2 linked regions of the Arabidopsis thaliana genome follow. The protein of the gene in region 2 purifies or fractionates together with the protein of the main gene of each other region. This does not show direct contact. Each region holds a gene or a part of one and is shown on either strand. Other genes may lie near its edges.

The links. The genes of interacting proteins can lie anywhere in the genome.
Region 1: the proteins of CYCA3;1 (region 2) and AT1G55890 purify together in Arabidopsis thaliana (affinity purification with mass spectrometry, with the first as the bait; one large-scale study listed by BioGRID). This does not show direct contact.

Annotation. Positions count from the first base shown.
Region 1 is NC_003070.9:20,899,473-20,903,318, forward strand, and holds AT1G55890 (Tetratricopeptide repeat (TPR)-like superfamily protein), read left to right. Parts: upstream 1-1,770; 5' UTR 1,771-1,891; coding exon 1,892-3,088; 3' UTR 3,089-3,328; downstream 3,329-3,846. Other genes in the region: AT1G55880 (Pyridoxal-5'-phosphate-dependent enzyme family protein), read right to left, coding at 1-42, 151-386, 491-880, 976-1,119, 1,287-1,361, 1,471-1,668; TIM50 (Haloacid dehalogenase-like hydrolase (HAD) superfamily protein), read left to right, coding at 3,691-3,846.
Region 2 is NC_003076.8:17,291,246-17,295,539, forward strand, and holds CYCA3;1 (Cyclin A3;1), read left to right. Parts: upstream 1-1,706; 5' UTR 1,707-1,981; coding exon 1,982-2,278; intron 2,279-2,352; coding exon 2,353-2,579; intron 2,580-2,666; coding exon 2,667-2,819; intron 2,820-2,899; coding exon 2,900-2,933; intron 2,934-3,012; coding exon 3,013-3,162; intron 3,163-3,252; coding exon 3,253-3,387; intron 3,388-3,472; coding exon 3,473-3,544; 3' UTR 3,545-3,779; downstream 3,780-4,294.

The sequences.
Region 1 (3,846 bases), on a different chromosome or scaffold from region 2:
GAGGAGCTTCCAACAAAGAGCCCATCATTCTTCAGAAGAAACCTGGGAACATAATATAGTGAGAAAGATATCAAGATCCAACTTTTACGAAATCTTTATCAGTACTCTCTAAAACAGTTATGTCAAAACATATAAAGGAATGAGCACTACCTCGACATCTCAACCGCTTCTTTATCAGTCCCACGAAAACCACCGTCAAGTTTTGCCATCAGGAAGTTTTTAGTAAGCCTGTTGATTCCGATCCCTTCTGTTATTGTATCAAATGGGTTCTTTAGCCGACGCCCTTCAGCTTCTTCTCTTGTGTACATCACTCCCCGTGTTACTTTATTGTACAGACCAGATCCAGGAGGATCAATCAGAAAACATTTAACTCTTTCATTCTTATCCTGTATAAATGCACCAACAAGTTATGAGTTTTTCTTTTGCTTATAACATCCACGAATTACTCATTCTTACATCTTTGATTAGTATAAGCCCTGAGTAATTATACCTGAAGAAACCTTGAAACACCAGCTAAAGTCCCGCCTGTACCCGCAGCAGCAACAAAGGCGTCAATATTACCCTGAGTCTGGTGCCAGATTTCAGGGCCAGTACCTTCATAATGAGCCCTATAATTTGCCAAGTTTTCAAATTGATCTGCAAAGAAGCCACCGGTAACTGAATCTGAGAATAAGGAAGGCTCTTTCACTTCCTCAACCGTGCAACCATTAGTTTTCTCCTGGTGTATGCCATTTGTTTCGCTCCCTAGTCTTCTCTTTGATGCTAACTCGTTTGCTTCGTCAGCCCGTCGCCTCGCAATGTTGACATAGTGATCCTTGTGAGTTATTGACACTGGCCTCACTCTCTCAACAGAAGCTCCAAGGGCTTCAATTATTTGAGACTAAAATAAGTCCAACACGATACAAATTTGAGTGTATGTACAATAATGCATACAAGGGAATTTGAATCATCATCAAGGTATTTAAAAGATATAACCTTTTCAATAGCAGCATCATCAGGTATAACAACATGACATTTACACCCATAAGCCGGAGCAACTGTAGCAAGGCTAATGGCAGTACTTCCTGCACTACCCTCAGTTACAATTCCTCCAGGGAATAGCTTACCAGATTCCAAAGCCTAAACAGAGAAACAAAAAAAACATAATGGACTTGCTTCTCGATTTCAAAAACCACTAATATAAATAGCCAAGCTGATGATTCAATCACTGACATTGTTAAGAGAGGTTTATGATGATCAAAAAACTTTTAAAAGTTGAAACCTTTACAATGCTAATCATAGTGTACCTCTTGAATGATCTTGACAGCAACTCTATCTTTAACACTACCTCCTGGATTCAAAAACTCGCATTTCCCAAGAATCTGATCACCAGACGAAACAAGTAGAATGAAAATTACATCTTTAACTCATAAATCACACTATCAGTTCGTCAGACCAAACAGAAAATAGCAAAAGAACATCGAGAAAAACCTCACATCCAGTAGCCTCAGAGAGACTATTGATACGAATCAGAGGAGTATTGCCAATGGCATCAACAAGCCCGTTTCTCATAGTCAACTTCTCCTTCCTCTTCTTCTTCTCGGAGAGACGGAAAAAGAAGCTGTAAGAAGTAAGCATCAACAACGCCGCTGCTGCAACAACAGCGCCAGTCATATTAACAGGCGCCATTGAAGCTCAAGCTCGCCTTCTCCCGTAATCAAACCGGTGAAGTAAAATTAGGTCGTCGGCAAAACAACACTATTTCTATTATTTGTTATTCTAGCCCCCAATATTTCCTTTAGTTAAAAATAAGGCACTAACATTTTTTAAATTATCAGATGCGTCCTTCATTTGATTTGTTCTTAAACTCGTCTCCTGAAGGCTGAAACCCTTTGCTCTCACTCCCAAAACGATGTCGTCTCTATCTCGCGTTCTCCGTGGCACCTTCAACACTTGCCCGATCCGCCGTTTTTCCTCCGCCGCCACCGTAGTCTCCGAACCCACCGCAGTCACTGCCGCAATCTCGCCTCCTCAAAAGTCACTAACCAGTCTCGTGAATGGCGAACGAAACCCCAAACGGATCGTGGAGAAATTCAAGAAGGCATGTGAGTCGGAGCGGTTCCGGACCAACATAGCCGTGTACGATAGAACCGTGCGCCGTCTCGTAGCCGCAAAGAGATTACACTATGTCGAAGAGATTTTGGAGGAGCAGAAGAAGTACCGCGACATGTCAAAAGAGGGATTCGCGGCGAGGATCATTTCTCTGTATGGAAAAGCCGGCATGTTTGAAAATGCACAGAAGGTGTTCGAAGAAATGCCAAACAGAGACTGCAAGAGGTCAGTGTTGTCCTTCAATGCCTTGCTTAGTGCATATAGACTTTCCAAGAAATTCGATGTGGTTGAAGAACTTTTCAATGAGTTACCTGGAAAGTTATCAATCAAACCAGATATTGTATCTTACAATACTTTGATTAAGGCATTGTGTGAGAAGGATTCTTTACCTGAAGCTGTTGCATTGCTTGATGAGATTGAGAACAAGGGACTAAAACCTGATATAGTTACATTCAACACACTTTTACTGTCTTCGTATCTAAAGGGACAGTTTGAGCTAGGGGAAGAGATATGGGCTAAAATGGTGGAGAAGAATGTAGCAATAGACATCAGGACTTACAATGCTAGGCTGCTTGGATTAGCCAATGAGGCGAAATCGAAAGAGCTAGTAAATCTCTTTGGAGAACTTAAGGCTAGTGGGCTCAAACCTGATGTTTTCAGTTTCAATGCTATGATTAGAGGATCTATCAACGAAGGAAAAATGGACGAAGCTGAAGCGTGGTACAAAGAAATTGTGAAGCATGGTTATCGTCCTGATAAAGCTACCTTTGCTTTATTGCTTCCTGCTATGTGTAAAGCAGGTGACTTTGAGTCTGCGATTGAGCTCTTCAAGGAGACATTCAGTAAGCGGTATCTTGTCGGTCAAACAACGTTGCAGCAGTTAGTTGATGAATTGGTGAAAGGGTCTAAGAGAGAAGAAGCTGAGGAGATTGTGAAGATTGCAAAGACCAATGATTTCTTAAAGTTGAAGCTAAATTTGCCGTCCCAGGAAGAGTAAGTCATTTGCTACTCTCTCACTAAGTGTCTCGTTGAATTGTGTCTGAGCAGCTTAAGCTATATGTATTTGCTGGTGTTGCTTTGTGGCTTTTCTACTTCTCTAAACTTTCCTCTGTGGAAGTAAGACTTGTTTCTTTCTATGTAGTTTCGCTTATTTCACTGGTGCAAAAAACAGCATGTAGTCGAGGTTTAGGCAGAAGAAACCCTACAAATTTAATAAATTTTGGTTATTTGTTTTCTCTTTTTGACACGAATGAATTTATTATTTTTGTTGGAAAAATATTTTCATTTTATTTGGTAAATAAATAGTGTAAAATAACTTCATTAATTAGTTATTAAAAGCCCGAAATGCAAAAATAAAATAAAATAGATTCTCTTCTTGGTAAACAAGTAAAAAAAACAGCAAAAAAAATAGAAAAATATCGGAGTAGAAATAAACCGACTACCAAACAGTGGATAAGAGAGTTAAAACGAGCCCATAAAACCTGTTTCCAAACAGTCCATCTGTTAATTTTCCTTTTCTCCGATCAATTCCAAAACCCTACTTCAACCCTGCGATTCATTCATCATTCACAGAGTTTGAAGAAAACGCCGAAATCGGAAATGGCGTCTATTGTTCTTCGATCTCGCCTGTTGCCAAGATTAGCAAAGCTCAGATCTCGTAATCTGAGATGTTTCTCTGCGGAAGCATCTTCGACGAATTCTACATCTAGGTATTCGGGAGTCACCTCTACCCAGTCGATGTTTTCTGATTTTCCA
Region 2 (4,294 bases):
AGTTTACCAAACTTTTGAAAAGATTTAGTTTTATAAGGATAGGGAAAAAAAACAAATTTAGCTAAATTTTCTCAACCAATTTTCTATTAAATAGATTCTTTTCAGAATACAAATTTAAGAATTCTTAAATTTATTCCATAAAAATCTTTGTTTCTGTTGTAACATTTTTTATTTTTAGTGCTATAGATGTTTTTGTTTTTGTTTTCTTATTACGTCATATGATGGTGGTATTCAACTACATACAATCTGCAACAATTCCACGGTACAGTTCTCCCTGCAACACTCAGATTTTCTATGAATGGTTGTACATGTATGATATCCCTGCGATGGACAAACTCTCTCCGCAATAATCAGACCACTATGAACGGCTTTATCCACCAGGCAATGAGGCCATAAATATTTTTAACAGTTGCTTAGAATTGAAAATTTTCTTTTTTGGGTCTTGTTCAATCTCATTGGGCAAGACAAAACAAATTGTTGTGTTAAAAACATTGGGAAAATTCCCAAAAAAAAACCGAACTATTTAAAATCTGCCAGAAAACTACCTGAACTTTTTTCGTTGTCAGAAAAATACACAAACTAATTTTGAGTGAAAATAAAATACACGATCTATTTTTTTTTTCCAATTACCTCTCTTCACCGTAACGGACCGTTAACGACGTTAACCAAATCGTCAAACACTGTTAGTTTTATTTACAGAAAATTTCTGGAAAAAAACCTAACTTATTTAATATTTGCCAAAAAAATACATGAACTTTTTTGTTGTCATAAAAATACACAAACTAACTTAAATTGGAAATATAATACACGATCTATATTTATTTTTTCGATTTCCCTAACCAAATTGTCAAATATTGTTAATTTTATTTACAAAAATTCTTAAAAAAGCTTGACTATTAAAGCAATCCTCTAAAACCTTAAGATCTTGAGTAATATCAACCAAAATCATGTTATTGATGGGTATATTTTATCCTAAATTACTAAATTTTTTTAAAATATCTATCGTATATCTAGATTCGATGTAAGCAACAATAAATTAAAAAAAAAAATACTCCCTTTGTTAACGAAAGTTCTTCTTATTAATTTCTTCAGTTTATTATGGTTAATATCTGAAATGGATAGATGTGTTATATTAACACTAGGATTCAAAGAGGTTCAACATAGATTATGGGTTTATAAGGGGATAAAATCGGCTTTATCGCCACTCTTATTTACCACGTGTAAAGAAAATGAAAAAATATATTTTTATTTAGTTAACCTTTTGTAACCATTACGATAAAGTGAGTGAAATTGGAACACAAAACTACATCATGCTCTTTATTTCAACTTTAAACTAGTTTGTATATATTTCTGGCAGCGAAAAAAAGTTCGGGTATTATTTTGGCAAATATTAAATAAGTCGTGGTTTTTTCAGAAATTTTCTATAAATAAAATTGAAAATGTTAACCGATTTGGTTAACGCCGTTAACGGTCGTTACGGCGAAGGGAGGTAATCGGAAAAAAATAATAGATCGTGTTTTTTATTTTCAATCCAAATTAGTTTGTATATTTTTTTGACAACGAAAAAAGTTCAGGTAGTTTTCTGGCAGATTTTAAATAGTTCGGGTTTTTTTGGGAATATTTCCTAAAAACATTACTATTGGGCAAGACATATTGGGCCAATAAACAAGCCCATTGACAATTTGCATCATCATCTTCCTCGTTTACGAATTAGGTCTTCCTGTGATACCAAATTTAACATTTCCCGGTGAAAATTTCGAAGCTCAAAACTCTAATCAAAACATCGCGCCAACACAATTCAGCTTCATTTTTCAAAAAATCAAAACCTGTAAAGAATTCGGAAAAACCGCCAAAATCCAAACTTTATTCCAAAAAATCACAAAAATGTCTCTTCGCTTCTTCTCTTTTTCTCACCCTTCTCACTTCCATTCTCATCCACCTAATCTCGATCTCAATCCCTCTCTCTTGAATCCAATCAACCATGGCCGACGAAAAAGAGAACTGCGTGAGAATGACAAGAGCAGCAACAAAAAGAAAAGCTTCCATGGAAGCGGCAATAGACAAAGAACGAATCAACAAGAAGAGAGTCGTACTCGGAGAGCTTCCAAACTTGTCCAACATCAAGAAATCTCGAAAAGCCACTACAAAACAGAAGAAGAAATCAGTTTCGATTCCGACAATCGAAACCTTAAATTCAGACATTGACACAAGATCTGATGATCCACAAATGTGTGGTCCTTATGTTACATCAATCTTCGAGTATCTTCGTCAATTAGAGGTAAAGAAACAAAACCCATCTCTAGATTTCTAGATTTCACAATCTGAGTTAGTTTCTCGATTAACACAATTCAGGTAAAGTCAAGACCTTTGGTTGATTATATAGAGAAGATTCAGAAAGATGTAACTTCGAATATGAGAGGAGTTTTGGTTGATTGGTTAGTAGAAGTTGCTGAAGAATACAAACTTCTCTCAGACACTCTTTACCTCGCTGTTTCTTACATTGATAGATTCTTGTCTCTCAAGACTGTTAATAAACAAAGGCTTCAGCTTTTGGGAGTTACTTCAATGCTTATTGCTTCGTAAGCTTTTTCTTGTTTTGTTTGTTTGAATCTCTCTTTTTTTGTGTGGGTTTGTTTATTTGGATTTTGGTTTTGAAAAATTTGTAGAAAGTATGAAGAGATTACTCCTCCAAATGTGGATGACTTTTGTTATATCACAGACAATACTTACACGAAACAAGAGATTGTTAAGATGGAAGCTGATATACTTCTTGCGTTGCAATTTGAATTAGGAAACCCTACAAGCAACACGTTTCTAAGGTTTGATTCTGATTCTTTTGGTGCTCATTGAGTAATGTTTTTGTGTAGTTTATTGTCTCATTGCGTTTTGCTTTGTGCAGACGGTTTACAAGGGTTGCACAAGAAGATTTCGAAGTAAGCTCTTTTTGAATTGTGGTATTTGCAATTTATAGAGAGTATCAAATTTGCTAAGAATTTCTCTTATTTGTTTCAGATGTCACATTTACAGATGGAGTTTCTTTGTAGCTATCTTTCGGAGTTGAGCATGTTAGACTATCAATCTGTGAAGTTTCTTCCGTCTACTGTGGCTGCTTCAGCGGTGTTTCTCGCTAGGTTCATCATCCGTCCAAAACAACATCCCTGGGTAAAGCATTTTGCAAAGCGGTTCTTGTTCTAATTCTCTGTGTTCACTACTTTATATAAGAAGCTAAAGCTCTGGTGTTGAATGTAACAGAATGTGATGTTGGAAGAATACACAAGATACAAAGCGGGTGATTTGAAAGAATGTGTGGCTATGATACATGACTTGTATCTGAGTAGAAAATGTGGAGCTTTAGAAGCTATAAGAGAGAAATACAAGCAGCATAAGGTAACCCTAAATACTATTAAATGATAATTTGAAGAACAATGTTCTTGAGATTCACATGTTTCTTTTTCTATTTGGTTCAATACAGTTCAAGTGTGTAGCGACAATGCCTGTATCACCAGAGCTGCCTCTTACGGTTTTTGAAGATGTCAACATTTAGAGACAACTTTTGGTAATCGGCATAGATAGTATAAAACCAGGTAGCGGTTTCGTTGGTTTCTTTCCTTGGTGTTTTGGCTTGTACATGTCTTAGGACTACTAGTGTGATAAAGGATCTTAATATATGTTTAAAGATTTTGGTTACTTAATGATTTTTTTTGTTTGGGTTATAATTCAAGCGTTCAACACCAATGTTGAACCATGCATTTCCATAAATCTATCTAATGGGTTGATGCCTAAGCCAACCGATGCAACTATACGTAAAAGATTGAGATCTTGTGCACTACATATTCCATTCTTTGACATCCAAAGCTTTCCACTTATCTTCAGTTTTCTTCGTTTTGATAAAAACAACGCTCCATCTTTGTTTTACATTATCGTCATCCAGACATCCACACTAGAACTCGCCATCAGTCAAAGAAAAACTTCTCAAACCAATATTTTGCAGCTGTTCACTATTAGGTTCCACTAGGTTGTATATAGAAAAAGAAGATTGGTTTGAGAAGTCGCTTCTTGTCAAACCAATATTTTGCACCTGTTCACTATTAGGCATAGATAGTAACCGGCATCTGCCTATGCACTCATGAAATCCGTGAATCATATCAGCTTACTGGTTTAGGCGTTAAAAATCGGTGTTAATCGGCTAAATCGGCCGGTTTAGTGTTTATTATTTTTCTTTCAAATATGACATCTTTATAAGTAAAAAACATTTAAGTAAAAATATAATAAAAATACTTGATTACTAAAACTA